Linked DNA regions of Astyanax mexicanus. The protein of the gene in region 1 interacts with the protein of each later gene in a pairwise test. Links are inferred from orthologs where the notes say so. Each region holds a gene or a part of one and is shown in the gene's direction. Other genes may lie near its edges.

Evidence for each region.
Region 2: the proteins of pias4a (region 1) and smad7 interact in a two-hybrid assay, tested with the Homo sapiens proteins (2 studies listed by BioGRID and IntAct). The link is inferred for Astyanax mexicanus from reciprocal best matches to the Homo sapiens genes PIAS4 and SMAD7.
Region 3: the proteins of pias4a (region 1) and DNA-binding protein SATB1 interact in a two-hybrid assay, tested with the Homo sapiens proteins (2 studies listed by BioGRID and IntAct). The link is inferred for Astyanax mexicanus from reciprocal best matches to the Homo sapiens genes PIAS4 and SATB1.
Region 4: the proteins of pias4a (region 1) and smad1 interact in a two-hybrid assay, tested with the Homo sapiens proteins (2 studies listed by BioGRID and IntAct). The link is inferred for Astyanax mexicanus from reciprocal best matches to the Homo sapiens genes PIAS4 and SMAD1.

Annotation. Positions count from the first base shown.
Region 1 is NC_064423.1:23,645,690-23,654,227, forward strand, and holds the start of pias4a (E3 SUMO-protein ligase PIAS4-A), read left to right. Parts: upstream 1-5,168; 5' UTR 5,169-5,291; coding exon 5,292-5,318; intron 5,319-6,614; coding exon 6,615-6,999; intron 7,000-7,130; coding exon 7,131-7,215; intron 7,216-7,352; coding exon 7,353-7,394; intron 7,395-7,522; coding exon 7,523-7,613; intron 7,614-7,867; coding exon 7,868-7,996; intron 7,997-8,538. Other genes in the region: scamp4 (secretory carrier-associated membrane protein 4), read left to right, coding at 660-777, 1,801-1,983.
Region 2 is NC_064424.1:46,992,811-47,000,693, reverse strand, and holds the start of smad7 (mothers against decapentaplegic homolog 7), read left to right. Parts: upstream 1-4,137; 5' UTR 4,138-4,914; coding exon 4,915-5,422; intron 5,423-7,883. UniProt on the Homo sapiens protein: Antagonist of signaling by TGF-beta (transforming growth factor) type 1 receptor superfamily members; has been shown to inhibit TGF-beta (Transforming growth factor) and activin signaling by associating with their receptors thus preventing SMAD2 access.
Region 3 is NC_064408.1:119,013,199-119,021,543, reverse strand, and holds the start of DNA-binding protein SATB1, read left to right. Parts: upstream 1-5,104; 5' UTR 5,105-5,597; intron 5,598-8,345. UniProt on the Homo sapiens protein: Crucial silencing factor contributing to the initiation of X inactivation mediated by Xist RNA that occurs during embryogenesis and in lymphoma.
Region 4 is NC_064414.1:49,450,282-49,458,344, forward strand, and holds the start of smad1 (mothers against decapentaplegic homolog 1), read left to right. Parts: upstream 1-4,413; 5' UTR 4,414-4,503; exon of another isoform or gene 4,504-4,639; intron 4,640-8,063. UniProt on the Homo sapiens protein: Transcriptional modulator that plays a role in various cellular processes, including embryonic development, cell differentiation, and tissue homeostasis.

The DNA of each region.
Region 1 (8,538 bases):
TTAATGACATTGCTCAAACAAAAATGTAGTGCAAAATATCCATCACTAGCCCTATTTGTCCTTTGTATATTGACTGTTCTTTAGCCATCTACCTTTATTTCTGTCTTCTACTAGTGTATTTGCATATAATTGCAGTAACAAAGAAAACTGAGCTGTCATATCAAAGCATGTAAATGGAGGTGTGATTATCAGTGTTGCCGTATAGCTGTTAAAAGCTGCACCTTACACATTGTTAGGTTTAGAGGCGCTTTTAAAGATGCCTGGATTTGTTTTTGTGTATAAAAATAGCCTCTACTTCAAATGATCACATTTTAAGTTCCACTAGCTTTGATATTGTAATGCATTGTTGCTAACAGCAGAATCCAACCACCACATAAACTGACACTGAAAAGATGGTAAAATATTCACTTGAGTTAACTATAGGAAACTATAAGAAATAGTTTTTAACCTGAGTTCTCACAACAATTTTAAACAGTATTTTAAATGGTCAGATCACTGAATGAGCTCAGCTGTTCCATCAGAGAAGACTGAATTCTGATCATCATCACATGATTCGGTGTGCAGATAAATAGGTGAAAGATACAAGACCTGGTAATGACTAACCCAGTTTACCTCTGTCTTTCTCTCTCACTCGCTCACCCCTTCATGCCTTGCTCTAGTGGTTGGATAGCAACAGTGATGTTTTTCGGCACTAACGTGGGATCGGCTGTGGTTATGCTTTTCTCGGCTGTGCTGTTCACTGTAAACACAGTGTTCATGGGGCTGGTTCTTATCAGGGTAAGTCTAGTGCAAAGCATACTAAACTGCCTATATAAGACACACCTTAAAGGAATATTCCAGATCTTCATATAACTTATGGCCGTTAGTTAATTATAGATGTGTATGGACTTTTTTTTCCATTTTCTGAGAACTGTTAACATTGGCAGTTTTGAGTCAGCAGTTTTCAAATTCTTTTACTAGTTTTAAGAAAACGCATCAGACATAAACTAGGTAAAAAAAAATGCTTCTTTAGTGTGGTCTTTAGGACCACAGGACCCTGTTTATTCCACCTAATTTTCTCGCAAAGACAGATGTTGTAATGCATTTACACTGTATGTATAAACACTAGCATGCAGAAGAACGTTGAACTTGTCTTTTGAAGACTAAGAATGTTAGCGCAGGGAAATCAGCAAACTGGTATAGACTCAGCTCCCTGTTGCCTGTCATATTAAATAAATGAAGAAATTAATGCTATAATCATGTAATGTAATCTGATAACTTATTGTAACTTTTATAATATATGCAAGGATTAACTCTAGTATCAGAATTTATTTTTCTATTTTCCAAAAGCCTATGTAGTCCAAAATTAGGCTTACGGTAATTCCGTCTCAGAAATTGACCCTTATTGTATAAAGTCGCATCAAACAGTCCTGTGTCTACACAAAACAATCTGAGGTCCACATTAACAATTGTGTGTTCTTGTATAACAAATCTCCCATCTAATACACTCTCTTATAGAGTATAGTATTCTTTGTAATGAAAAACCTTTTAGAGGAATGTTTTTTTTTTAAGTACTCTGGTGGACATTAAGTTGGTTTCACACACTGTTGAACATAAAGTGTGGTAGTATATGGGATTCTAATTGGCTCTGGCTCTAAAACTAGCTTTTCAGAGATTCTGATTGTATCTGCTTCAGTTTGACTTACTGTCCCAACCCTGTTACATGTTTTTGCCATTTTTACCCAAACCTAATTGAATCATTGCATAATGTAAGTATCAAAAAGAGTGATAAATGTTGCATATTTTGATTTCTCTTTTCAGGTTCACCGGCTTTATCGTGGAGGAGGAGGCAGCTTCCAGCGTGCCCAAGAGGAATGGACCACCGGTGCTTGGAAGAGTGCCCCTGTGAGAGAAGCTGGCTTCAATGCCATCGCTGAGACTGGCCCAAGTCTTCCTCAGTACCCTGCTGCTGTGCCCAGTTATCCAGAAAGTGGACCATGGTGATGAACCATTCCAGACTCCAGGTGGAGCCAGAGTGCTCTATTTGTCCCCCTGCGTATAGCAGATATCTTAACTTCATGCCTCCACATGAATGACATAACAGTGAAACTGTGCAAGTCTAGAGAAAGGGGACTAAACATCCCGTATAGGAATCCATTGTACTTTTGTTTACAAATTACGTTGCCAAACCGGTTACACAATGACTTGTGCATATGTGAAAGAATGTAAGTAATGTTACTTGATAAAACAATCATGCAAATAAGGTACTGCTCACAATCAAGCCGTGGCAGCTTTAAAAAATTTCATTGGGACTGTGAAAACACTTTTAATTGCAGAATTGCTGAATTATAACACTACGGTTTTTTTTTTCACCAAGTGATTCCTTACACTACAGTAAGTGCACCCATTAACTGTGCAGCAGACCTTCTTTGACCTTTTGCTGAAAATGCTACATATTTTCAAGAAAAAAAACTGACACGAGTTAAAGGTGTTTAACTATATTTATCAAATACTGATATGACTGGCAGTAGCTAGACCTTTTATACATCAGAAATGTGCATAAGAATTGCATGCTTTTTATTTGCAGATAAGATTTTATTATATTTTTTTGTTCTCAGTGCCATGCCTTTTCTATCTGCTGCTTTGTGCCTGATCTTTAAAACTGACATGCGCCTTAATAGTCCTAGCATGTGCAAAGAATTATCTTTCCAGTTGCCTGAAGTTCTGCAGTTCCGTGAGTGGATATGGCCACGTCCATTTATGCAGAATTATTATTATTGCTATTATTATTTGCTCAGTGCAGTCAGCACTCTTCTTCTTCCTCCTAAATAACCATTACTTATGATTTCAGGCCCTGCTGTTGAAGTATACATTCCTTATGCCAATGTTTGTTCCAGCTCTCTTGTTTCAGTGTGTTCCTATTTGGAGCACCATGTTTACAGAGTGGCCATTTGAACCTGGGTTTTGAAATATTGTGAATTTAGTTGTTTTACTTTATTTTTATCTCTTGAATTTTCCATTTCATCTCTGGGCTCCATCTCATGTATAGTGATGACTAACATATGACTGTAAAATAAATGCATTGAGAAATGTATTATTGAGACAGCTAACTTAATAAAAACATTCCTTTTCAGATTGAATGTCTTTTTTGTAGTCTCTAATCAACAACATGTCCTAAAACAGGAAGGGGCAGTTTTCAGTCTCTTGTTATTTCTTGAATATTGATGACCGAGTTATAGTTTGCTAAACGTTAAACAGTACTTTTAACCATGAATTCTTTAGTGAATATTTAATCCTAACAGCTTTGGTCCAGCAAACACCTCTAAATAAGTAAAGTACTATCCTACAGAGCAGAATTTTGCTTATTATGGCAGAACTGTAGACAAGAAGACACCTGATACAGCATCAGCAATGTATCACCAGCTAGGATTACCTGGCAATAAATCTGGTGCTAAAAATGATTTCAGTTTTTGTTTAATGCAAAATGTACAAAACAAAGCAAGCACTAAATAAGTACTAATTATTTAAGTGTCATGAAACATGAGTATCATCACCGAATCAGTAATAATGAGTGTGACCTGGCAACCATGTAAACTCATGTAAGCAATCCTAAAGTCTTAAGATCTTAAAATAAAGGTATTAATGCCCAAAAGGCATATAAGAAGATAGCAAAGCTTTCTTATGGAACAATGTTAAAAGAAAGTTACATGACATAATTAAAATAATAAAAAGTTATGAAAACTAAGAACAAAAATAAAAGAAATAAAGTACTAAAAGTATGCAACGGAGATTAAGTTAAACTGTTGGGGAAGCCCAGGTAAACAGATATGTTTTCAGGTTACAGTCTGGACACATCTCACAGCTTCTGGGAGTTTATTAACAAAGTCAGCATAATGTCAAATACATCTCAATGGGCTCTCCTTGTTAAGAAAAACGTAATAAGAAAGATTTAGGTGATCAAAAATGATTTCGGTCATGTCCACATATAGTACAATAACTTGGTAACATAATTATTGTAACAGGCCTAACAACTGTATATAAAAAGAATGTGGTCTGTGAATGTCTCGCCAATTAAATAAAAACAGTAAAAATAAATATATTTAATGATAGCTGCCATTCAGCATTTTAATTATATTGATATTGTTGTACTTTAACCCCAGTATGCAGGAGAACAGAAGAACCACAACTAAAAAGTGTATTTAAAAGTGTATAAATAAAACACAGAGCAACTGCTCCCCCGCATGTCTGCACCAGGCCTCAACTGGTTCAGTCATGTCCTTCTTCTACACAGTGAACTGTTCCTAAGAGAGCCTGACATCAAACCAACAGAAATAAACACCACAGCTCTATCACACTGACTACAATTGTGAGTATATTGCAATGTATTATCACTTATCATTTCAGCAAGAAAAAAGAATGCTTACAGAAATTTTACCCCAGCCCTGAATAATTAACTATAATTGTAAGGGTAAGAATCTGGTGAAAATGTCTTTTTGATTGATTTGGATTTGAATTCCCTTAATATGTTCAATCCAGCTTTAAGAGGGTTTGCTTTTCTTATCAGACTAGTGGTGACAATTCATAGCCCTGATTCTTTTACCCCGCTCACTGTTCAACATTCCCTTTGCTCCCATCCCCCACCGCTCACACTCAACCAGTAAAACACGGCATGGAGTTGGGTGGGGAATGTGCACAATTGATTTTTCCATTCCATCTCCTAGTCCAGTCTTATTTCCTCGCTCCTGCTGATTAAACCATAAGTTCAATCTCATCTCAGTTTATGATAACAGCGTTTTATATTGCCGAAAGCATTCGTGGCCTTTTAAACGCGTTGGTGTGAAACAAGCAGGTAGAAATTAAACAAAAGCGTTTATTCCTGAATGTTGGGTCGCCAAAATCCCGACATGGATTTTCCCACGCGGGTCGGAGCCGGCGGAGCCACGCGCTCCCGTCCACTTCACGCTGAGCGTCCTCCGCCCGCTCTGAGCCTGGACTGAAAATACACCGGGCTTTCGCCCTCTCTCCAGACTATTAAAGCAGGCACGCCGGAGGATGAAATTCACACAGTGTTTGGACGGGTTTACAACAACCAGCGGCCTATGAGGACGGATAGACCTGCCTGCAAGTGCTCTTTTTTTAAAAGAGCGCTGTGACTTTAAACGCACGAAGCCACGCCTCGCTCCAGACAACACCGCCCACTTAGTGACGTTCAGGGCGCTGATTGGACGCGGCGGGCCGTCTCCGAAGGCGGTCGGCTCTTTTCATTGGTCTGCAGCTGCCGTTCGCCTGAGGACTCTCGCTGCTTTGTGAAGATGGCGGCCGAACTGGTAGAAGCGATGGTGAGTGGATGCGCGCTTTTGTTTTTCTTTGCGGGAAATAAAAGTGCTTTCCGGGAGCAAAGAGGAGCCGGTTGATGTTGGTTTCGGCAGCGGTGTGAGCGCTGAACAGCGTGTCACGGCGGTTTTATTCCCGCTCTTAGCCAGTGAACTGCGTTGGCAGTTGAGCAGGAGCTAAGCTGGTTAGCTAGCGGCTAACGTTAAATGAATGATGGGACTTCAAAACAGCTCAACTGACTGAGAACAGTAGCACTTTGCTCATACAAAACCTCGAGCTGAGGTCCGGGCTTAACTAAACATCCGCAGCTCCTGCTTAACAGGGCATTGGCGGGTCAGGCTGGTAGTCTGACAACTAGTATTAAAGCTGGGAAATGAGTGATCTGCTGCTCAGCTCATCCGGTGCCCCCTCCGCACTCGCAATAGCCTCCAGTAGCCGTTTAGCTAACCTAGCTAGCGTTAGCTAGCACACACTGTATGTACTACAGCAGCAGCAGCGTGTGTTTATGATGGGCTAACAGCTACCAAAGAGCTTCACAAGTAGACTGCTGAGTTGACTAAGACAGTTCATTAGTAGTGTTTTATGTATTATTGGTTTAGTAGGTTAACTGTGAACTATGAACACGGTGATCATGGTCATTTAGTGTAAACAGATGAAGCATTATGAAGGGCTTGCGTAGCTACAAACTGGCGGGTAAACCCTAGTTAGCTACTCGCTAGCTTAGCTAGGTTAGTATGAGATGATGTATGTAGGCTGGCATGGTGTTATGCTATTAGCTAGGTAGCTAATAGCTTTGATAGCTATCATAAACCGTTAATAATCTACTAATACTGTTATAAGCAAGCTATAAGACACGAGTTATATAGAAAGCTCTGGAATAAAGCTTCGTTGATTTTGCCAAATTAAAAAAAAACAGGAATATAATTAAGAGGAAGATGGATGATCACAAGCCATCAAACTATGCTGAACTGCTTGAATTTTTGCCCCAGGAGGAAATATTGATTTCTGAAAACATTGTAAATATAAACTTGTTTTCTTTGCATTATTTGAGGTTTGTCAATAGATTAAATATTTACTCACTAAATGTCAGTGCTTTCCACATGTTTACACCATACTGTTATTTAAATGACATTTATATCCGATGTACAGCTGTTTTCTTTTTTAAGTGATCAAAGGCATAATGGAAATAATTGTTAACTAATCGACTAATAAAAAAAATCATCAGATTATTTATAGACACTCTAACTGTGTTTACTCTTATTTTTCTTTTCTCTCTCCACGCCTGCTACTCCTCTGGTCAGAACATGGTGAAGAGTTTCCGGGTGTCTGACCTGCAGACACTGCTGGCCTCGATGGGGCGCAGTAAAAGCGGTCTAAAGCAGGACTTGGTGGGGAGAGCTTTGAGACTGGTGCAGACGGAATACAGCCCAGAGCTGCTGAAGAACGTCCGCCAGCTCTATGAGACACGCTTTCCCAAGTCGACTGGATGGTTGGCTGCCCGTCGCCCTGAGGGGGTCCCGGCAGTCTCCTACCCTACCCTAAACAACTCTCCTCGAGGCACAGCCCAGGGCACAGACTACCTCAATGGCATGCCCAAGCTGGCCGCACCGCCAGCAGCCGAAGTTAAATTAGTGCCCTTGCCCTTCTACCATAACTTAGAAACGTTGTTGCCACCTACAGAGCTAAGTAAGTCATGGTTTTGTTTTGGTTTGGTTTTCACGAATTGTCACTGGTTTTTTGTTGTTGGATGTGTTCATTGACCATTAGAGGTTGAAAGGCTGATGTTAGACTCTATTAAATCTTGCTATGCTTTGCAGTTGCCCAGAACAGTGAGAAACTTCAGGATAGTCAGTGTGTTTTTGAACTAACACAGGGCCAGGTGGACCAGATCCGAAATTCCGGGTGAGTAATAGCTGAAAAAGGGCAAATAGACATAAGTACCTTTTTATTATAGGTAGTTTGTTTTTAGTATTATCTGTGTTTCCACATCTATATCTTGTGTTTTTAAAAGAAATGCAAAACTGTTTTTGTGTTCTCAGTGAACTTCGTGCAGGGGTGAAATCAGTTCAGGTGGTTCTTAGGTGAGTCTGTTTTAATGTGTCTTTTTGTTTTGTTTCTTTATTTGTGTGCTATTGGATTATTGGACTGTGTAGATGTGTTGTTTTCAGTTCTAATTTTTTGAATATTCATCCTTTTTCGTCTTTTTCAGAATCTGTTACACAGACTCCATTGGTGTTCAGGAGGACCAGTACCCTCCGAATATTGCTGTCAAAGTGAATCAGTCCTACTGTCATGTCCCAGTAAGTGCATTCATGTCGGTTTCTTGAACTTGTAAATTCAGACCTAATGCACTTTACTTCTAACTCGCAGATTTAATTTGATTTGATTTGATTTGTGATTCATAACGGAAATTAAGAGAAGTCTTTTTTTTTTTTTTTACAGATTTTATTCAAAATAGTTTATCTATGCAATGTTTGCAAAAAAACATTTCTCTGGGATGATGTTTTTTCAGAATTTCTATTAAATATTTACCTTCGTCACCTGTCATTTCCAGGGTTATTATCCTTCAAATAAACCTGGTGTGGAACCTCGTCGGCCCTGTCGCCCTATAAACATCACACCCTGGCTTCATCTCTCCACAGCCACCAACAGAGTTACCATCACATGGGGTAACTTTGGAAAGGTAGATTGGCTTTTAACAATTTTATTCATATATTTCTTATATGTGAGTAGGCCGGTCACGAAAACGTAATTTTCAGGACGATATATTGTCCTATATTTATTGCGATAAACAATAAATTTGTCATTTTAAAGGGGGACTATATGAAATTCTTTTTTTTCGTGCTTCTGGCCTCCCAAAGGAACTGTGCCACAGTAATAAAATACTAGCACAATATTACTATTACACCATTTTACAGTGAAATTAACTTTTTATTAATAAGAACAGACATTGGGCTTCCAATATAGGTACAACCACTCTGGGACTCTGTGGGTTTTGAGAGAACTGCACTAAATATTAAACACTTTAAAAAAATAAAAATAAATAAATAAATAAAGTAACAAAAAATAGATTAAAGTAACATTTACATTAATTCAACTTTTTTTGAACACACTTTCAGATTCCTTTTTCTGATCATATACTGTATGTATATGCTATAAAACACACGTTAGCTCAAAAACACAAGTGTTTATATGATCAAAGACAGATAACTCAGCAGGCCACAG
Region 2 (7,883 bases), on another chromosome or scaffold:
CAGAGCACTTTAACAAGTGAGAAAAGCGTGACATTTAGAGCTGCCAAGGGTCTCAGCCGAGCTTCAGGGGTGACGTCTTATTTTGTGCACCGTCCCTGATGACCGTGTATTCACAGCGCCGACAACCAGGAGAAGAATTGGGGAACCCGTACAGTATATAACCCCAAAAAACATAAAGATAATGTATATAAACGCCCTACTGGGATAAGTAGAGGAGTGTGAAGCACTTCAACATCAGTTGTAAAAAGCGCAATATTCAGCTCTAGATAAAAATAAGAGATTACTTGAAAATTATGAGTTTCTTTGATTTTATATAATCAAGAGGAAGACGGATGATCACAAGCCATTAAACCACCAAACTGAACTGCTTGAATTTTTACACCAGGAGTAAAGCAGCATAAAGTTATCCAAAAGCAGTGTGTAAGACTGGTGGAGGAGAACATGATGCCAAGATGGATGAAAAAAACTGATTAAAAACCAACCAGGGTTATTCCACCAAATATTGATTATTTCTGAACTCTTAAAACTTTATGAATATGAACTTGTTTTCTTTGCATTATTTGAGGTCTGAAAGCTTTGCGTCTTTTTTTGTTATTTCAGTCATTTCAGTATTTTCTGTAAATAAATGAAAATATTTTTATTTGGAATTTGGGAGAAATGTTGTCTGTAGTTTATAGAATAAAACAACAATGTTCATTTTACTCAAAAATAAACCTATAAATAGCAAAATCAGAGAAACTGATTCAGAAACTGAAGTGATCTCTTCATTTTTTCAGACCTGTATATATAAATAAATCTGATTTCTCTCATTCAAACACCTCAGAATTGCAGTTTTAAAGCTCAGTTTTAATGCTAATTAGACTGTAAACACTATTTTAGAGGTGCTATTATTAAGCAGCTCTAAAATAAACCTGGGCTGGGTGAAACGTTACTCTTCAGACGTGACCTAAGTGTGAACAGGGCACAGGAAGCAGCCTGACCCGCACCTCACTGATGACGTCTAAGGTCATGCAGGCCTGTCAGGCTGAGGGTGGAACTATCCCAGAGCTACAGGACCACTTTAACAGCCACTTATCCCAGTCATGCAGCTTGTCAGCTGCCGGAGCCCCGAGAGAGCACAGTTGAGTAGAGATCCTTGTCTCTCTGGGTGGGTAGAGTACAGTGGGTGGTGCTCTTCTTTCCCCTCATCACTCCTAGGGTGATGTGGATCAGCACAGGGCGTCTGTGAGCTAATGTATATGTACTGTGCAGAAGTTTAGCGCACCAAAATTCGAAAGTTGTGTGTAGGGGTGTAAGAAAATATCAATATTGTGGTCTCAATAATGGTATTTAATTTTGCAATACAGTATTTTTTTATTTGTATTTATTAGTCTATCTATTCATCTACTTATTTTATTTTTAAACTCATTTCACCAGTTTTCCCATCTCTCTTTCTTCTCTCTTTCTCTCTCTATTCCTCTCTCACTATTCTCATCTTTCTTTTTTCTTCTCCCTCTTTCCCTTTGTTTAGTGATGTAAATATGGCATCAGTAAAAATGTGTTTTTAATCATAAAAGCACTTTATTTACACTAACTCATGTTTTAAAGAGATTGACACCATTATATAAGTATAATTGCATTTTATTTTTTATTTTTTCGATTTTTCAACATTTAAATATCCAGTATAAAATGTCTCAAGAACGTCTATAGAATAAATAATGACGTGCCAATAGCTTATTATTATTTTTTTTTTCCCCAAGGTTCTTATTCTATTGGCAGTACTGTTGAACAGAGACTAGAGGAGCTGTGTGTGTGCATTTGTACATATGTGTCAGCAATGGATGCAGCCAATCTAACCAATATCAGCACAGGTGATTACTAGAGCAGCAGCCAATCCTGGTGCAGAAAACGTATTACTTAATATATTAGTGCAGGAGAAAAGTAATTAGCCAATCCCAGCACTGAAGAAAAGTATCTAGCCAATTCCATTAAAGAACAAATGTAAATAGCCAATCCCAGCACAGAGGACAGAGCACTAGCCAATCACAGCGCAGGAAACGCTCTCCTTCCTCCAGACTACCTTCAGCTGAGAGCGCGAGCTCGGCGCCAGTGAGGAATCCGTGAACAATAGAGACTGAGCCGCAGAGTGGCGCCTCTACACACACACACACACACACACACACCACACACACACATACACACACACACACACAGCCCATCATCATCATCATCATTATGACCCTCCTCCTCCTCTTTTCTGCCCTGCAGCCACACAGACTGGCACCCAAATGACCAAACTGTCTGAGGGACACAAAGAGGGAGCTCTCTCTCTCTTTCTCTCTTTCTCTATCTCTCTCACAGCCAGATGTTACCTCTCTCTCTCTCCCTTCTTACCCTTTCTATCTCTTCTTATTCCTCTCTCTTTCATTAGCTTTCTCATTCTTTCATTACTGTCATTTCTCTTTGTTGTCTCCCTTGTTTCATTCCCTTTCTCTCTTTCAGATCTCTCTCATTCTCTCTTCCTTTCTTTTTTCTCTTTCATTTATTCTCTCTCTCTATTGCCATGTCCTTATATTCCTCTCCCTATTCTCCTTCTCTCTCATAATCTCTTTCTTTCTCTGCCTCTCTCTCTTTTTACATCCCCCTCTCTATTCCCATCTCTCTCTCTCACTTATTGACTCCCTTTCTATCTCTATTCTCTTTCTCTCTTATCTCTCTGATCTGTCTGGTTATCTCTCTTTCTTTCTATCTATCTTTTATTCTGTCTCTATTGCCATCTCTCTGTTTTCCTCTCCCTCTTCTTTTCTCTTTCTGTACTTTCATCTTACTTTCTTCCCTCTCTCTATCACTTTTTCACTCTTTTCCCTCTCTCTCTCTCTCTCTCTCTCTCTCTGTGTTGGATGGTGTGAGCTGGTGGGGTGAGTCAGTATTCTGGTCAGTAATGAGGTTTTCTGGCTCCTGAATGTCAGGCTGGTCTCAGTACTGATAGAGCTGGAGGGGTGTTCAGGGTGGGGGGGTCAGTGTTGGGGGAGGGGGGCGGTGGTGGGTCAGTGGGTCAGGACTGTTGATCTGACCCCGTGAAGCCCCGCGGAAGCGCGCGCAGCTGAGTGAGAGCGCGAGCCTGAGAGCAGAGGAAACAGGTTGAGCCAGAAGGCGGCAGCACTGCGCATGTCCTCAGCTCAGGCCTCCCATCCACTCTCTCTCTCTCTCTCTCTCTCTCTCTCTCTCTCTCACACACACACACACACACAGTAATAACAGTCATACTAGTTTATTTAATTTATTTTCTGGTATACTATCAGTAGTGATTAGAATATGAAATAATAGCATTTTATTATTCGTAACCGTGCTTTATACTATACTTTTATAACCTATATATATTTGTATACATGTGACAATAAAGCTAAAGTGCATATTGATGTCAACCTCTGTTTTCGTAATAATAATAAAAAAAACATTTTTAATGTATACAATATACTAATATGCAATATTTATACAATATACTAATATGTATTTCTCTTTTTTTAATACAAAAAATACTTTTTTCAATTTTGTACCATTTCCGATTATTGACCAGACCTAAAAAAGCTTAAATGGCAAAAATAAAGGGACAAAGTGGGGGGTGTTCTAAAACTTTTGACCGATTTGTGTGTGAATGCATATTCAATATACATGCAATTTATTATTATATTATATTGTATTTTATTACTACTCAATTCATTTTCAATAAAATTCAAGTTTGCTTTATTAGCATGACTGTTTTAAAAATAATGACAAAATCGAACATATAGTAAGCCATCAATTAAAATATTTACAGAAACATTATAAAAAAATAATGACAATAGTAACAACGATAGCAACAGTAATTATAACAATAACAATAGTAGTAATTGTAATAATAATCGGGTATGGTAATATTAGCAGTTCCCAATAATCAGGAGTGTCCGGGAGTGTGATCTATCTAATCTGATCTGAAACTTTGTGCGCGAGACTGAGAGCAGAGTCCCCGCGCGCGCGCCTGTAAAGCTCTGAAGCTACCGGAGCTCGTGTTTGCGCAATACAATCCGCTTTTTTTAAAGCGACATGGTGTCTAGACACGCACGTGACCAGCAGGCGCGCCAATGGAGAGAGAGAGAGAGAGACGGAGAGGGAGAGAGACTGAGAGAGAGAGAGAGAGTGGGGGAAGCTCCAGCTCTCCTCCTCCACTCCTTCATTCCCTCGCGCGTGCTTTCAGGGCTCGGGAACTTCAATCGCTCTGCTGGACGGAACCGACGCGACACGACGCGGAGGAGCTCCGTAGCGCTTCAGTCCAGCGTCATTATTCCAGTGTTAAGCGCGCGCGCCTGCTGATCATCTCCGCCCTGTTTCTGGACCCACAGCCTGGCCGTGGATTGTGTCTGTGGATCTGCGAGGCTTTTTTTCTTGTTTATTATCATTATTATCGCCCTGCTTTGGTGGATAAAAACCCGTGTGGATGTAACGTTCACTAAACTGCCTGGATCTCAAACCTTCACGCACGCACACGTCTCGCGCGCGACCTGTATGGGATGTTTTCATGTTTTCATCCAGAACCTGTGCATTGAGAACCAGAACCTGGAGCGTTTTAGCTTATCGTTTGTGTGTGTATATGTGTGTGTATATTTGTATGCATGAGTGTGGAAGCTGCTAGCTAGGTTACGTTAAGTGTGTATGTATACGTTATACGTGTGTATGTGTGTGTTTATATGTATGAATGCATGTAGCTAATGCAGCTACATCGCGTGTGAGTTGTGCAGAATTATTAAAGAGTAAAGTCTGGCGCATGCTACAGACAGCCTCTGCTGCTGCCGCCTCCTCTCCCGCCTCCTCTCGGCCTGTCTGCCGTCCCGGGACCTTCATGCACTGGGCACGGCGCCATGCTCGCTGTGTAGCCGGGCAACCCTCCCTCAGTGCCGCATGTTCAGGAGCAGACGCTCGGGGCTTGTGCGGCGACTTTGGAGGTGCCGTGCGCCCGTCGACGAAGACGGAGAGGCGGGCAGCGGCGGCGGCAGCAGCGGCGGTGGATCGGGGGGAACGACCGGAGGATCCGGGGGAACCAGCGGGTGCTGCATGGGCAAGCCAGCCGCCGGACATAAGGCCGGCCCCGGCTCCGAGGCCGAACTGAAGGCGCTGACCCACTCGGTGCTGAAGCGGATAAAGGAGAAGCAGCTGGAGGGGCTCCTGCAGGCGGTGGAGTCCCGGGGAGGGGCGCGGAGCCCCTGCCTGCTGCTGCCCGGCAAAGTGGACGCCAAACTCGGACAGCAGTCCTACTCCCTCCCGCTGCTTCTCTTCAAGGTTTTCCGCTGGCCGGACCTCCGGCATGGCGCCGAGCTCAAGCGGCTCCCGGGCTGCGAGTCCTACGGCAAGGTGAACCCGGAGCTCGTCTGCTGCAACCCGCACCACATGAGCAGACTGTGCGAGCTAGGTAAGCCTATATATTAAATATATATATTTTATATATTTTTTATATATTTATAGTTGTATAGCTATAGTATATACTAATCTACACTATTTGTGTTGTAGTAGCATAGTATTTTACATAGCTTATATGTTTTATATATATATATATATATATATATATATATATATATATATATATATATATATGTATATATATATATTTTTTATATGCCTTTTTAAATAATGTATACCATTAACTTAGCTAACTTATAGCCTATATGCACACATCCTTACACTAGCTAAGATATACATACTGGTATACACTTATCTAACATCAAACCTGACATAGCCAGCTTAAACACAGTTATAGTCTTACACAGTTATATAGCTGCTATACAGTAGCTATAGCTTATAGTGTTCAATGTAACTAGGTCATCAGTATTATATAGTACAATTCTACAATATATACTTGATGTATATCATTTACACTTATTTATATTTACTGTATGTATCATATATAAGAATTAGTTATACAGTATATAACCTAGCTAGCTTATATACACTGTATTGACAATATATGCAATATATGTCTTAAACACTTAGCTACAGTTTATAGATAGTATTCTGTGTAGCTACTTAAGACATTATGTATTATATATTACAGCATTACACTACCTTTATTTATACATGTCTGACATAATAATAATACAGTCTTACAAAGTTGTATAGCTACAATAGCTATAGCTTATAGTATCCAGTGTAACTAGGTCATCAGTATCACATAGCACAACATTCCAAAATATACTTATCTATACTTATAGACATATAATGTATTTATCCTATAGCTTTCTTAATGACAAACAAAACATATATATTGTAGTTTTACAATACAATACTTTATTTATTTTTATACGTGTATGTTCAAGTATATCATGATATTATAATACAATTTTATCCCCATAGCTTATATCCCATTTAGCTACTATATTGCATGTTATTGACATGTTATAGGTGTTGCTGTAATATATTAATAAGTCTAATATCTATATATAGACCTGCCATTTATAGGAAAATCTAGCTGACCTATATATACAGTTTATATAATATGATTATATGTTATTTTATTCTAAATCATATGTAGTTACAGTACAAGCTTAATGTTTAGTTAAGCTTATACAGGGCAGTATCTAGAGTTCAGTATCTAATATGTTCATATTACAGCCTTTTGTTATGTATCTGTTATGTTTTTGATGTATGTAATGGATATATTACCCCTGATTGATTGAATACAGTCTTTTCTACAGTCATATTTAATTTCCCCTGCTTTTATAGACTGAAGCTGCTGTTATAAAGGTGCAGACTGAGTGCAGACAGTCAGTCTGTTGACATTTGGCTTTGAGGCGGCCGTGTCTCCTGACCTCAGTATCACTATTAACTCCACTCGCAGGTGGATTTAGAACTATGCAGCAAACCCAGACATCTTGATGATGGATCTGATGATCTAATGTCATGATTTAAAGCCTTAAAAGTATGAAATCTGATTATATAAGAGATTTAAAGCAGTAAAATGAAGGATGTTGTTTGTTAGCAGTTTCAGTATAGCAGGTTTTAATACATATATGTACTGTTCAGTCATAAGAGAAACTAAAATGACTTATATACTTATATTTACGTTTACAAAGTTAAATATTTAACAAATTCACTCATTCCTTACTCATTATTCTCACTTATTATTATCTGTAATCTTTTATTTATCATTTAGTAGCTCAACTTTAATTATAAAAGCAAGAATCCGACATGTAGGCCAACATACTGACCCTTTACTTACTTAAGTGGATGAAGTTACTTAATGTGTGTATATTTTTTGTATTATTCAGTAGCTATTTTTTATCATTCTAGAGCTTAAAATAAAAATAATATGTCAGTTTATGTGTCTGTAGTTAAAAGAGTTGGGAAATTGAAAAGCCAACGTTTAAAACAGCAAACTTTTAAACAGGTTTTTGTTAAAATAATGACCCATATCTAAATTGTTGATTATTATGTAGTGATTTAGATTCTTAGATTCTTCAATTAGCCTTTTAAAATATATATATTAACATATCTGATACTCCTAGAAGTTCAGAGGCATTTTAAAACATTTATTACATTTATTTATTACATTATATTTATTAAGACCAGCTAAATCAGAATGAGAGATATCGCTGCGAGCGTAGAGATGCGCAATATTACAATATTTTATCGTAGTGTTTTACTTTTTTGAGTACTCTAAGGCCTGTCACAATAATCATGCATAGTCATGCTTCAATAACTGTGACTCCATATATATATACACATACACACAGTGTGGAAGTAGGTAAAGAAATGGGTATATAATTCCCAAACTAATTATAATAAATGATTTGTTCAATTTTTGTCGTCTTTAAAAAGTGTTTAATTTCTTTTCTTTAAGCTATCCTGTTATCATCGTGTCAGTGGCATTTAATAGT
Region 3 (8,345 bases), on another chromosome or scaffold:
ATCACACCAACTGAAATCAACGCAGGGCAGTGATTCATACGGGGAACGAGAGAAAAGGGCAGAGGTGTAACAGTGACAGATAAAAGTTTAACATGGCTTTTGTGGAGTCCCAAAACCACGGCTGTGTGCGCTCTTCTGAGAAACGGCTCCAACCTGACGATAAGGAGCAACGACTGAGTTAAAAAAAAAAAAAGCGTGAGATAATAAGAGAGAAATTGGGTCATTAGTGAAAGCTGTGCAAAAAAAAAGTACGTGTACATTTAGTATACTTTTTTAAGCATTAAGTACATTATTTGTTTTACATCTTTACATCTATTTTGCATTTCAAAAGTATACAAGTAAAATGGTGCAATGATTGCAAGTGTATGAATCATTGCAAGATTAGATCTTAGAAATCCATAATTAAAAATGTCTAGTAGTAAACATTAGTAATGGTATATATTTGTAATACTGTGTAAGATATGTGTACAATATATATATATATATATATATATATATATATATATATATATATATATATATATATATATATATATATATATATATATATATATATATATAATATGCATGATATATGATACCATACTGATAGAAATGCAGGGTGCAAATCAAGCACAAATGCAAGTTGTACATAATTTTTGCACCTTAAAATGGGCAAAATGTCCCATAATTAAGACTTTGTAGTAGTATTTAATTGTTGTAGGTTTATGTTTGAGTAAAATGAACCTTGTAGTTTTATTCTATAAACTACAGACAATGCTTCTCCCAAATTCCAAATAAAAATATCGTCATTTAAAGTGTTTATTTGCAGAAATTGAGAAATGGCTGAAATAACCAAAAAGATGCAGAGCGAAAACAAGTTCATATTCATTTCAGTTCAGTTCAGTTCATATTTCTGAACTTTTAGAGTTTTAGAGTTCAGAAATCAATATTTTGTGGAATAACCCTAGTTTTTAATGCATGTTCTCCTCCACCAGTCTTACACACTGCTTTTGGATAACTTTATGCCACTCCTGGTGCAAAGAAAAAAAATGTATATATAGAAGTAAAGGGTGCAGTAAAGTGTCAAAATATGTAATAAATAGCACAAATAATATATTGTCACTGTCCAATGAAAAACAATTATCTCCAAAACAGCAACTTTACAGAACAGATAAAAAAACTCTTTAAACTTTCAATGGTAGTCAATGTAAAAAAAGAGTTTATTTCAGGTCATTTTAAAGTATTTCTATTGGTCCATTTATCAATAGATTTTGGCACAGTTTAAGGGACAGTTTGTCTGTTCAAATTATGTAGTAAACTAAAAACTGACAAAAATGGAGATACTTGTTTTTTTATGGACAGCAATGATATATATATATATATATATAAATTTGTACAATATATGCATTTTATTATTATGCTTTGCATTATTTTGATATGATTTATTGCTGATAGAAATAAAGGGTGCATTCACTGCAAGTGTGTGAATTAAGCATATATGCAATTTTTGCAAATAGTAAAAAGCAGTAATAGTAAATAGTATATATTATAAACTCTATATACACCATATTTGCATTTTGGATTGTGCAGTATATTGATATATTGAGTAAATGTTTTACTGCTTCATGGCAGGTGTATGAGTTTAGAGCATGGGTAAAAAGTGGGGGAGGTAATGTAACTCAAAATGAGTCAATTTATTAGTTATATGAATTAGAACATATATAACAGTATATATCCATTTGTCAGCTGATGATAAGAACCAATGCTGATGATAAGTTATAAATAACATTTACTAAATATATCAATATACTGCAAAAAACAAAATGCAAATATGCTGTATATCGAGTATATAATATATACTATTGCTACTTTTTACTACTTGCAACAATTGCAATTATGCTTAATTCACACACTTGCAGTGAATGCACCCTTTACAATAAATCTACAATGAATTATATAAAAATAATATATTGCATTATAATACGGAGAATGAGAGAAGGAGAGGTTGATTAGTGGACTCTCAGGTTATGTAGAGGTGTGAGGTGTGAGGTATGATGCTGCTGCTGAAGTGTGTTTTGGACAGATGCTCCTCGCAGTGGTGTGAGAGTGACCCAGTTTCTGCTGCTGCTGCTTCTGCTGCTGCTGGACGCTCTGCACCTCCACCTCACCCTGTTTCCACAGGATGAAGCTCAGCCTACACAGCAGCAGTGGGTCGGGGGGTCGGTGTGGGGGTGAGTGAGTGGGAAACTGGGGTGAGGATGGTGAGGAGGGGGCTTTTGAGGGTTGAGGGTTTTGTTTTTTGTTCCCTTCACTGCGGCACGGAGACAAGCAGCGGAAACCTAGAGAGCTGACCAACAGGTGTGTGTGTGTGTGTGGGAGAGAGAGAAGGGGGACTGCAACTTCTGAAAAGGCTTCATTCCGAGCTCACAGCATTTATCCGCAATAAATAAAGGAAATAAACACATCAGTAAAGAGGAAGCAATTGTTGAAGTGAATAAATATAAATAGAGATCAAACAAACAAACAAATAAACAAACAAATAAATAAATGCTATTTATAGAAATAGGTGGTAAATGAATGCATGATGATATATTTATATATATGCGAAATAAGTAAATATGGAGCTGAATAAATTACACAAGTAAATGAATTGATGAATGAATAAGCAAGTAAGTACGTAAATAAATCATTCAATTCAATGAATAAATAAATAAATAAATAAATAAATAAATGATATATTCATGGACAAATACATTAATACATTAATAAACAATGCCACATACTGCAAAAAATGAATAAATAAATGAACCGGAGCATTTATTAATAAGTAAATAACCAAGATAAGCAAAAGTTAAAAAATAAATAATATTTTTAAAAAGTAAGAAAGAAAGGATAAAGGAAAATGAAAAAGAATAATATATAATGTGCTTTTTATATTTAATACTACCTCTTTCTTTCTCTGCTCTATATAAAGCCACTTACAAAGGATGAGTTTCTGTGATTTTACCAAACTGAAAACCTCTGGAATACAGGGGGAAGATTGTATTCCAGAGTCATCAAACCAAGCTGAACTTGCTTTTTTTTCCAAAAGCAGTGTGTAAGACTGGTGGAGGAGAACATGATGCCAAGATGCATAAAAACTTTGATTAAAAACCAGGGTTATTCCACCAAATATTGATTTCTGAACTCTTAAAATTGTATGAATATGAATTTGGTTTCTTTGCATTATTTGAGGTCTGAAAGTTCTGCATCTTTTTATTTTGTTTATTTCAGTCATTTCTTATTTTCTGCAAATAAATGCTCTAAATGACAATTTGGAAGAAATGTTGTCTGTATATATATATATATATATATATATATATATATATATATATATATATATATATATACTATATATAAAATAAAAAATGAAATAAAATATAATACAAATGATAAAAACTCCACCTCAAACCCTTCAGTAATTATTCATTGCATCTTAAACAATACTTAAATTTTACTGTAATATTTTTAAACCAAATAATAACAAAGTTTGTCAGTAAAATGACCCTTTTAGAAAAATAAGCTACAGCTTTAATTTGCTCGTTGCTTTCCTGTTCGTAGTAGGTTTTCTGCTCTGCTGAGAAATGAGCAGTTTCTGGTTCAGTAGGAGCACAACGGTGTTATAACACACACACACACACACACACCTGCTGAAGCTCACATCTGCACTCACTCACCTGTGCACTGTGTAACTGCGTGAAATAATCAGCATTTTTGCACTGAAAGTCAGTGACAGCGCAGTGGATTTAAATATTTAAATATTTAAACCGAGTTAAACTCATCACGCAAGATTTGGTGTGAATGTGTGCCCTCTTGGCCACGCCCCTTTTCCTTGAAGCGTGCGGTTTTCCCGCGGGTTTGTTTCCCCACATGTATTCTGATGTTCTCGTCCAAAAGTTCCTTATCTATCATGTCTGCTGAAAACTGTGTAATATTGCTGTGAAGATATATGATATGATGTAATATATTGTAGAGGGGCGTGGCTAACACTGAAAAAGATAAATATATGCAAGTTTTAGAATGTGCCATAATTTGCAGCAATGTTCCTTGTATTGTACCATCAAATACAGTTTATCCAATTGTGATGGATTACATCACATTTAATCCATTGGGGGCATCGTAAGCCCTGAATTGTGATATATATCGTAGAGAAGTAATAAAATACAAATATTTTAAGACAACTTTTTTGTTCTCGTTACTCCTATTTCATTTCAGTTGGTTTTCATTCCGGCTTCTCATCCTTCAATAAAACCCCTATCCAGATAAATCTCTCCATCCAGATAGAGTGAATCTGATTGTGACTGGATGTAGAGAAGTATAAACATATACCATTCCGACTCCCTATTGGTTTATACTGTGATCCATCACACCTGCACCAGAAGATCATTTGTGCAGAGACTCAGATATATTTGCATTTTACTTATATTCTTATATTCCTTATTGTGCTATCTTACTGTACGATTGTTGTCTATCTATCTATCTATCTATCTATCTATCTATCTATCTATCTATCTATCTATCTATCTATCTATCTATCTATCTATCTGTTCCACCCGATGTTCAGGTAAGCCACGCCCCTCTATTGCAATGATTGACTAATTAGTCAATCATCCTGGACTTTTTTATCAAAAAAAAAAAAAAAAATTTATTTTTAGTTATATCTTATGAGGTATAGTTAATTTTCATGCTGTTCTCAGTTAGCATCTTTTATAGTCTTATATTCTTTACTGTGCTTTCTTACATAGATAAATCTATCTATCTATCTATCTATCTATCTATCTATCTATCTATCTATCTATCTATCTATCTATCTATCTATCTATCTATCAGGTAAGCCCCGCCCCTGTTATTGCTATGATTGATTAATTAGTCAATCATCCTGGTTTTTCTTTCTAAAAAAACAAAACAAAACAGAGAGAACAAACTCCTGACCAATCGCGGAACAGGTGGGCGGGGCTTTGTGTGGAAAACGGGTGGGGAAAGAAATCAACAACAACATCACACCACCGGAGAGAGTAGTATAGCGCAGCACGAGCGAGATAGATCAAAGTGGGGCACGCGCGAGAGCAGACGCGTGAGGTCTAGAGAGAGAAGGAGAGAGAGAGCGATAGAGCTGGCACGAGGCGGAGACGGGGCGGTTCATTTTTTCATACCTGCCCCCGCATCCCACCCCTCTTCTTGCCCCTCCGCCCCCCTCCAGTCCCCTAACACCCCCTCCCACTCCCGCAGGCAGCTCTATCCCGGACCACAGGTCCCGCGCTGCCCGCATTTCTCGCGCTGCCTCGCCGCGCGCCTCCGAACTTTGCTGATTTTGAACTGAGCTCGAACTGAATTTGAACTGAGCGCGCGCGAGTGACCGTTGGCGTCCAGTAACGGTCGCTTTCTAACGGACTCCTCGCGATTCTGCGGCTATATTTTCATTTATTTTGGTTAATTTAGTTAATTTTGAGGAGTTTTCTCGCCTTTTCCGAAGCTGTCAAGGTGGGAAGCGAGGCGAGACGAAGCCGGTCAGCTTTGGATGGGAAAAGAAGAGAAAAAAGCTGCGAAAAACGAGAAAGAACAACGCAAAACGAAAGGTGAGTGGCTAAACGTCTAGTTGAAGCATTAGTTAAGCTTACGTTAAGTTTTTTTTCTTTTTTTGCGTTTACCTCTGTTACAGGTAACGTCTAACGTCTAAGGTATCGTTAAACGATGCCTGGACTTTAAACGTTCATTAACTTACAGGTGTACGGTAAAAAAAAGAATATCGAATAGACGTTGCTCTTTGGTTGCGTTTAACCTAACTACAGTTAAGTAGTTGAGTTTTTAAGATGCTGATGGAAAAACGTTTAACATTTAAACAACGTTTAAATGGGTTACTTAAAACTGCTTGCTTCATAGGCGTCAGTTAATCAGTTGAAATTATGACTTTGATTCAACGTTTATTTTAAGGCTTTGAAAATCACAAGTTAAGCATTAACTTGCACGTGTAAGGTGAAATGAATATTGAGTTGACGTTGCACTTTGCTCTTTGGTTGCGTTTAAACTCAATTTCTGAAGTTTTAAGTTGTTATTGGTAAAACATTTAAAACATTAAAAAACGTGCAGGTTACTTGAAACTGCCTCATATGCATCAGTTCGTGCTGAAATTCTTACATTGATTAAACGTTTATGCTTTTGTTTTTTATGAGAAAGGTGCTTGCGACAAATAATATAAATTATAATAAGTATAATAATAGTAATGGTTGTCAATATTATTAAAATTGAACTTTCTACACTGTATGTTTGCACATATTTAAGTTTAATACATGCAACACATATAAAACGTATAAACGTTAAACCCATATTAAATCTACGTATCAGTCAATCAGTCAGTGTTTACAAACAATTAAACTCTGACATCGGACATAAACGCTGTTTCAGAGCATTGGAGAAGAAAAAAAAATATATATATATATCGTTAATTCAACAAAATTGAGCGTTAACGTCTGTTGCTGATAACGTCTAACGTCTAATATTATTGATAAAAGTTATTTTATGATATGGTTTTATGATAGAAAAGAGAGGTAAACTGAAGAAGAACAACACAAAACACGAAGTGAGTGGCTGGCATTGCATCGCATTGAGTTTTAACGTTAACTTCAGTTGTCATCAACATCTAACGTCTACTTGGACTTATACAGGTGTAGGCTAGCTTGGTTTTAATCTGAGCTGCGTTTTACTACAAACCGGTTAAACAGCTAGTTAAACATCTTCACACTTACTTAGTTAACTAGCTAAGTGAATGAATTAGCTGGCAGTTAATTAGTTAGTGACTGAAGCCCCCCCCTTCACACATCTATCTAACGTTAACTAAGGCAGAAAGAAAACACCACCTGCTCCCAAAACAAGCTCTCTCCATTATTGACGAGCCTCCATCCCTCACTGTCACATCCCTTTGCTGTCCTCTTTCATCAATCGCCTGATAAAGAATAGATAAGGCCAGGAAAAAAGGTGTGCACTCAATTCTTAAACACTTCTCTTTTATAAGCACTTCAAGAATTAATGCCTCATGCTGTTCTGCTGCTATTTAACTCAAGATTTTTCAGCTCAAGATTTTTGTGTCACACTGATAGAAGTCAAGAGTACCATACATCCATGCAAAGTGATGCTCCTAACTTAGTGCAACACAAACTAAGCCTTAAAAGTTATTTTTATTAAGTAAAATTAACTGTTAGTAGTAGAACATATTGCTATTATGTAGTCATGCTTTTTAATTTAGCTTTTAGTCTTGTTTTATTGCATTTTGATCTTAATATTATAAGCACAACTTCTCTATCATCAATATCAGTTTATACTAATAGAATTAAAGGGGAGAGTCACTGCAAGGGTATGAATTGTAAGCAACGTAATGCAAATAAGATTCAAAGGGCCAAAAATCCTGTTTTATTTCATTGTTTATTCATTTAAAACTCGTCAAAATCAATAGCTTATACTGATAAAAGTAATCAGGACAATAATTGGTAGGTAAAGCAGCAAACTCAAAACAAATCCAAACATCTCGTAATTAAAGATAGTTAATAGTTATTAGAATATTTATATTTATATATGTGTGTATATTTATTTATATACATTTTCAGATTTTTTTAAGCAGTATAATGCAGTTTTTTTCATCAATTTATCATAAGCACTAATCCATTTTTAGATGTTTAATAGTACAAGCAGTGCAGCTGTATGAGTTAATCACACTTTAACTTGTCAGAATGCGTGAGAAAAGCCATATCTAATAATAATAATAATAATAATAATAATAATAATAATAATAATAATAACAAAAAAAAATGCATTAAATCTCTAACTAAACAAAAGTCTCTTTAGTTTAGTTTCATTTTCATTTCCGCATTTTTTTTTTGCAAACATCTCTATGTCTTTATGTATTTGCTTTATATATATACCTGTCCTGAGTATCATAAGCTGAATAAGGGACCAAACCTGTGTGTCCTGAGTAAATGTCTTCCAGATGTGCAAGATAAGCATTTGTGCATCGTATCTATTTAGCTAATAAAACGAAATAAAAAAGCACAAATCACCCAGAAAAGTTTATGATAGCACAAAGGAACACTCTTTATATATATTATAAGATAAAATCTGTATTAACATTAAATGAAATCCAATTAACTACAATAAAGTAACTGTTTTTTTGGTTTATGTCTATTGGATTGAAAGCCTGTGCTTAACATTTTATGTTAGATTTGATATTGACCTTTTTGTTCACAAGCCATCCTTAAAATAAACACTAAAATAAACAAACATGAAAAAAATGTGTTCTAAATGAGGTCTTTTAGTTTATTTAATTTTGGCTCTAG
Region 4 (8,063 bases), on another chromosome or scaffold:
TCAGTATAAAGAGTTTGACATTTAAGTCTATATTAGTGTTGATTAGGGACACAATATTTCACAATATTTCAAGGTATTTCTGCAATAACGATAATCTTGCCAGTATGAAAAAAAAAAACATAATTTTATTAATATGAAGAATATTCTACCGCAACAAAAGAAATCCAAGTAAATCCCTACCAAGGATATGAATTTGTCTAAAATAGTATTAATGAAACAAAATAAATGATGTAACAATAGAATAATGCAATATAATCAATATATATTACAATAACCCTCAGGGGCGGGTTTATTCAAATGAGACGGCTGTCTCTCCACAGTCTTTCACCCTCCTCTGGTCTCTACTGCGCAGACTCTGGTTTCAGGATCGCCAACATGGAGGAAAAATTTTGCTTCATTTTCATTAAATGAATGGGAACGGCGACACAGCGTCCGTCTTTTTACAGTCTCTGGTCTGAATTGAATCTTCTGATATGACACTCCTGGAAAAAACTCCTCAATTTTATTTATGGTCCTTCTTTTGTTTTGAAGCCGGTCTGGGTTCGTTGGGTGCTCAGCTCCCAGAATCGCCCCTGGGAGGAGATAAGCATGAATCTATTTGCACCATGTCTAATGCCTGGCATCGTCTAGAGAGGAACAGTGTGCTCTGAAATGATGGTACTACATCCAGTACTTTTGGAATTAGTTGAAAAGTTGGGATGAGGTGGGATCATTAGTCTTCTAACATCCTGGCCTAACGTATGCTCTTTGTATTGTATGCAATCAGATCTTCACAGCAAATCTCCAAAATCTAGAAGAAACCCTTCCCTGCAGAGTAGAGACAGTTACTCCAACAAAAGCACAATAGACTCAATACTTTGGGCTGTCCATCACCCTGCTGCATTTAGTGTTCTCTACTTTGTTAAGAAATTGTGTTGTCTGAATAATAATAATAATAATAATAATAATAATATCAGTGATCAGTTTTTATAGCAATTATAAATTCTGTTTAGTCTACACTTACTGGTAGATTTAAACTGGGTCTGGTTCAGCGGTTGCTGCAGTTGAACTGTCCGGACTAAAAGTGACTGCAGCTGTTGTCCATCTACATCCCCAAAGCCTGGTGTGAGGGTTTCGGCCAACTGTGTGTGATTACAGCGTTCAGTTGTGTAGAACAGCTTTAGGAAAAACACTTTTGATAAATGAACTGTGACTGTGCTGGAACACTGTTTGTGGACGTCTGAACTAAACCGAAGCCCTGGCCAATGGCAATGAGTATCCAGTACCAGTCAAAAGTTTGGATACACCTCAAATTAAGAGGTTTGTCATCATTTAAATAAAATGTTCTGTATTGTAGATTAATACTAAAGTCATATAAAATATGTAGAAAAACATGGAATTCTTTAGTGAGTCATCTGGAATTCAGGCTTTCAGTTAACAGCTGTGCTCATCAAGAGTTAATGACTTGAATTTCTTGTCTCTTAATGTGTTTGAGAGCATCAGTTGTAAAGTAGTGAAGAGGTAGAGTTACAGGTATACAGTGAATAGCTCTATTTGAGTAATGTTCTCATAATATATATTACGAGAAGCAAAAACTAATCAAATAAATAAAGAAAAAAAAATACTTTAAGAAATGAGAGTCAGTCAATCCGAAAAATGTAAAGAACTTTGAAAGTATCCTCAAGTGCAGTCACAAAGATAATCAAAAACGTTATGATGAAACTGGCTCTCATCAGGACCGCTCTGATCTGACAGACTGCCAGCAACTGCAGTAAAACCAGAATAAGAACCAGAATAAGATCTGCAGAACCAACACATAGAATTACTAACAGAATGCACATGCTCTAATTAGACCTGATACTGTCTCTCTTCCTTTCTTTCTTTTACTTTCTCTCTTTTTTACTGTCTCTATCTTTCTCTCTCTTTCACTGTATCTGTTTTTCTCTCATTGGCTTTCTCTTTCACATTCTCTTTCTCTCTGTCTCTCTTTCACTGTCTCTATCTCTTTTTACTTTTTGTCTCTCTCTTTCACTTTATCTGTCTTTCTCTGTTTTTCTCTCATTGACTGTACTGTCTTTCTCTCTCTGTCTCTTTTTTATTCTCTCTCATTGGCTGTCTCTTTTACACTCTCACTCTCTCATCCACTGTCTCTCTCTTTCGCTGTCCCTCTCTCTCATTTGCTCTCATTCTCTCTCTCAGTCTTATCTGTTTTTATTTCTCTCACACTCACTGTCTCACTCTGTCTGTCTTGCTCTCTCACTGACTCTCTTTTTCTCTCTTATTCACTCTCTTTTTGTCTGTCTCTCACTCACTGTCTTTCTCTCTCTCGCTCTCTCACTCTCACTGCCTCTCTCTCTCTCTCTCTCTCTCTCTCTCTCTCTCTCTCTCTCTCTCTCTCTCTCACACACACACACACACTCGCAGTGTTTTCCCAGATTTCACATTCACGTGCAGCTTACTCGCGCCTCACTCAGACATTCTGTCGCCAACCGCGTGACGTCACTCGCGCTAGCACCACCTCCCACTGCCGGGTGTCTCCTTCCGCCGCCGGATCCGCACAGTAAAATAGTCCCGCGCAGAGTGCTGACCCGCGCGCGAGATGCGCATAAAATCACATTTTATTTATTTATTATTTTTTATTTAGCAAAACTACACGGCCTGTATTATTTTAACGAGATATATCGGGCCTGATAAGAACCGACTTTAAATTAAACTCTGAGACTCTCTCATTACTTTTATACCTTTATGAGTTTATAACTTTATTTTATGAAGTGAAAAGATGTTCCTATAGATAAGAACATATTATAGTTAAATATGACTCATGCCATATTACTAGAATGAATATAATACCATAAAATAAATCCATAATCATTTTACAAATTAATTAAAAGCAACAATAACAATCAATATCGTGTTAAAGAAAAAAAAATAATAAATAATATAAAAGTAAAACAATTTTCCTAGCATTCTGGGCCCTTTTTGTGGACACATTTATCATGTTTTTTTGACAGCTATAAATGACAGCTGTATTAAACTATTTAAAAAAAAATTAAGCAGGTTTTTCTAGCAAGGTAAAAGTATGCAGAATATATCTACACTCTGTTTAGAAATATTCAAAAGTCTGTTTACAGTCTTCTCACAGCGTAGACAGATATATACAATAAAGCACATTATATGAAAAGATGAATAGAGAGATAAACAGCATATAATCACACTTTTACAGATACAGAAAAATAATAATTGTCTAATGCTTATTTGCATGCAGAAACTTTTCTAAACTATAAACCAGTGAGACTTACTGATAGTAAGAGACTTTCTGAGAGGTATATTAGCTTTAATAATCTGCTTTGCTTCGGTAACTTTAGACCAAAAAGCCTGTTCATTAAATAAAAATATTATTCATGTACATATTATTAGCTATACCTGCCAAACTTACAACCCTATGATCAATAATCCAGTGCAATAAATTCATATCGGTCATAATTTAGTAGCAGGTTTTAATTAAATCAGCTAAATCATTTACAAAGTCTGATAAAATTTTATTAATTATTAAATTTACATTTAATGTTTCAGTATTTTAATAGATGGTAAAAAACAAGTAGAAATTTTTAAAAATTTACATTATACAATAATATCATCGCTGTCCAATGAAAAACAACTTTACATGAGGGATGTAAAATCTCTTAACTTTCAACAGAAGTCTATGTAAAAAGAGTTAATTTCAGGTATTTTTGGAGAATTCCTTTTGGACCATTTATCAGGCATTTGTGACACAGTGTGAGGGACAGTGTGTATATTCAAATTATGTAGTAAACTAAAAAAAAATTATATTGGACAGTGACTATTGGCTGTTGTCCATTGTGTTTATTAAGTTAAAATATCACAATAACATAAACGAATCAGCTGGTATGTTGCTTTGTTTATAAACATCATTTTATTCATTTTGTTTTTTGTTTTGCTCCATTTTTATAGTAATATAAAGTTATTTAAAGTAATGCATGCTTGCCTTATTATGATATTCCATGATAATTGTATCAGTGACATACAATGGTTTTGATAAAATGACAATAATACTGAATATTTGCAATTAATATTATATTAATAATTAACATTATATTAATCTAAAATTTCCAAAAATTCCAAAAATTAGTACTTATCATGACAAGTGGTGCTTTTTATTAAGGGACACGTTTCTATTAAGATAATATATCATTGTTTGTTGTTTGAAATCGACAGAAGTTAAAAAGTAGAGAAATTAGGATCTTCCCAGCCTAACTTCCAATTCCACCTTAAATAAGCTCTGCTCTAATGCAGACGTCCCGGCGGAGGTTCAAGCAACACACTGACTTTTTAAGGTGGAACGGAACATTCGAATTGAAACTAAGCAACCGGACCTCGCTCCATGCCGCGAAGTGATTGGAGTAGTTTTGTGCGGAGGGTGATGCGGCCGGCGCCGCTCTGTCTCTGGGCGAAAGCGGATCAGCTCGAGCTGAGAGGAGCGGAGCTGCGGAGGAGGCGCGCGAGGTACCGCAAAACTTCAGCTTTTCTGCTTAAAACACGTGTTTTACTGCATGCTGCTGGCCCGCAAGCGCGCACGAGCGGGGAACTTTACTCCTGAACTTTTTGCTCTGTCCTGGTGAACTTTCAGAAGTTGTTGAAGGTTTGTAGAGGGAGCTGTATGTGTGTGTGTGTGTGTGTTTGTGTGTGTGTGTGTGTGTGTGTGTGTGTGTGTGTGTGTGTGAATGTGATATGCATTCAAATGTGATTTATCACATCTGCTTATCACAACATGTTTTGGTCACTTGTGTTTGTGCTTGCTGCAGGTTCTGCATGGTGGGCTGTAAGAGTGTCTGCATGATGCACACCCATCCCATCATGCACTAGTGTTCACTGTTGATGTTTTGGGGGTGACAAGGGTCCAGTTTTGGGCTTATGAGATGTTAAAATGGGCTAAACCTCTAAATAGCACTGCATGTCCTCTAGTGTGACACATAGCTTAGAACCTAGAACTTCTCAGTGCTTCTATCACTACTTGATAGACACTGTTCTAGTGTCTGTGTTTGAAGGATCATTGAATGCCATCATGTCCAGGGCTTCCAAACCTCTGTAAACCAATATACATGTCCTCTGGTGTGACAAATGGCTGAATGTGGAGCTTTTCAATTATATTCTGTTTGTGCTGGTTCTTTTGTGGTGCTTATGCTTGAAGGATCAGTAAATGTCCATATCTTTAGGGTCTCTAGAACTCTGTAAACAATTATGTGTCCTCTGGTGTGACACATAGCTTAGAGGCTTAGAACATCTCAATAGACACTGTGATCTTCCAGCTAGTTTTCTAGTGTCTATGTTTGAAGGATCAGTGAATGCCAACATGTTTGGGGCTTCCAAACCTCTGTAAACAATACATGTCAACTGGTGTAACAAGGTGGAGCTTCTTAATTCATACTTTTGCTGTTTTATTCTGAACACATACCGGTTTGTTTGTGGTGTCTTTAAGCTTTAAAACCTCTGTAAACAATTGTTTGTCCTATGGTGTGACTAATAGTTAAGCAACACAATTGATAAATGACAGAACTTGAAGTTTTTAAGTGGACACTTATGCTGATCTAGTGTGATCAGACCCTGCTTTGTGGTAATCATGCTTAAAGGATCAAAGATTGTCCATATATTGTCCACACATAAACATATAAAAATATTGCATGTCCTCTGGTGTGACAAATGGCAGAATATAGGGCTTCTTAGATGACACCCATACTGTTAAATTCTGATCATACACTGGTTTGTGGTGACCATGCTTCAAGAATTAGTCAATAATCATATCTTTCTGTTCTCTTAACCAGTATAAACCATTGCATGTGTGACTGTTTGCAGAACTTATAGATTCTCAGTTGACACCATTGCTGTTTGCATTAGTCTGGTAATACACTGGTTTGTTAGTGGTGACCATGCTTGATGGATCAGTGAGTGCCAAGTCCTTTGTGGTCTCTACACTTTTGTAAACCATTGCATGTCCTCTGGTGTGACAAATGGCAGAGCGTAGGGCTTCTTAAGTGACACCCATACTGTTATTTTCTGACCACACACTGGTTTTTGGTGACCATGCTTCAATAATCATGCTTCTGTTCTCTAAACCACTACAAACCATTGCATGTCCTCTTGCATGACTGTTTGCAGACATCATTAATCTTTGTATTACACTGGCTTGTTAGTTGTGACCATGCTTGATGGATTAGTGAATGACAACATCTTTGTGGTCCCTAAAACTTCTGTAAATCATTGCATGTCCTCTGGAATGACCAATGCAGAGCTTAGAACCTCTCAATTGACACCCATGCTGTTCTCATCTGAACACACAAGGGTTTGTTTGTAGTGACCATGCATGAAGAATGTAGAATCCGTGATTGCCTATATATGTGGGGTCTTTAAAACCCTATATACCACTAGATGTCCTCTGGTGTGACAAATGACAGAACTTAGGGCTTCTTAATTTTCTCCAAAATGTAAATTGGGCCCTATACATGTCACTCATTAGGCCAATCATGGTGCATCAGAGAGCACTCTGCATGTGGGAGCTGATAGACCACAGTCAGTATTCCTGACATCATTGAAGATGACATATCAGATTACTCAAAGGACAAGAATTCGTCCTTGTCCACGCTTTGGTTGGATTGTTTAGTCCCAGGGCGAGCTGCAGGATTGTATCTGGGTAGAACATGCTGTGTGGGGAAGGTGCAGGTTCTGGCTCGGTTGGTCTGAACAAAAAAAGCAAATCAAGGTTGCTCCCACTTTCTCATGAACTGCAAATCAGCCCATAATATTGGATATCAATAATGAAGGTTCCTTCGTCCTTATGCCATCCTTTCTGACTTTAAAATTTGAGGTTTTCTGGCAGGACTTTTATTGTATGTGATGTTTTATGTGTGGGAGATTCACTTATGTAAGACAAGGTCAGTGTATTGCATTGTGTTCACAATCAGACTTTTTCTCATCTGTTTATTTAAAACTATGAAAGGGGAAGTCCATCAACTTTTTCAAATTCCTGCTTAATATAGTCACTGTAGTCAAAGTCCTTCACTCACTGTTTTGAAACGTGAGGGTCTGTTGTAGAGATGACACAGTGGTGCTGATGGGAACCTAGAAACTAGAGATGACTCTGCCTACTATACAGACAGACAGACAGGAAGGAAGGAAGACCATTTAGGAACAATGTATATGTACACTGTATTGCTGTCTAAAACCACCAGTGAATCTACATATACAGTACTGTGCAAAAGATTTTATGCACCAAATCAAACTTGGTGCATAACTAATCCATTTATCTCAGCAATACGTGTGTTTTTACCTGAAAATGCACCACATATGATTTGAACAGATGCAAATAAACACAAATACAGTAAAATGTAACAAGGAATTCTCATTTTTAACTATGAGTATGTTATATCCTGTGAGCCAAGCTGAAGAACAAAGTGTAGAGATTCCAGATTTCTCCTGGATGCTCCTCAGCCAGCATGTGTATATTATGTTCAGTTCCGTCAGCAGCTCACCTGATTTACCAATTTACCAAAGCAGGTGTTGATTAGTATGATGAGAACTAGAAATAACTCCATTAAACTCAGATGAGTAGAGATTAGAAGATGTTTTAAGGAAAACAGGGCTGAATTTTATCAGTCAGGTATTAAGGAGCAGTAAAGCCACTCAGCTGAAGTACAGAGTTATAAAAGAGTTTTTGGTCACGTTTCTCCAGCGCAGAGACTGGAGCAGTATTAGCATTAGCTGCTAACCACAGTGCTAGCTCTTTTGCAGTTGAGAGGTGAGTGTACTCGAGTATATCAGACTGTAGTCTGCGTGTTTACTGTGTTAAAACAAGCTACGTGGGACGAACCGCTTGCTGATAGCGCCCTGGATCTAACCCGAAGCACTCAGGCCTAGCTGTGTCAGAGCACTAGCGCTGCCGCTAACCGCTGTTGAAAATATTGGAAATTTAAGCTTGCTGTAAATAAACAGAAACGCTTTACTCACACAAATAAACAGTTTTCAGGTGAGAAATCTGTGTAGATTAACATCCAGCACTCGTTTGACTTTGA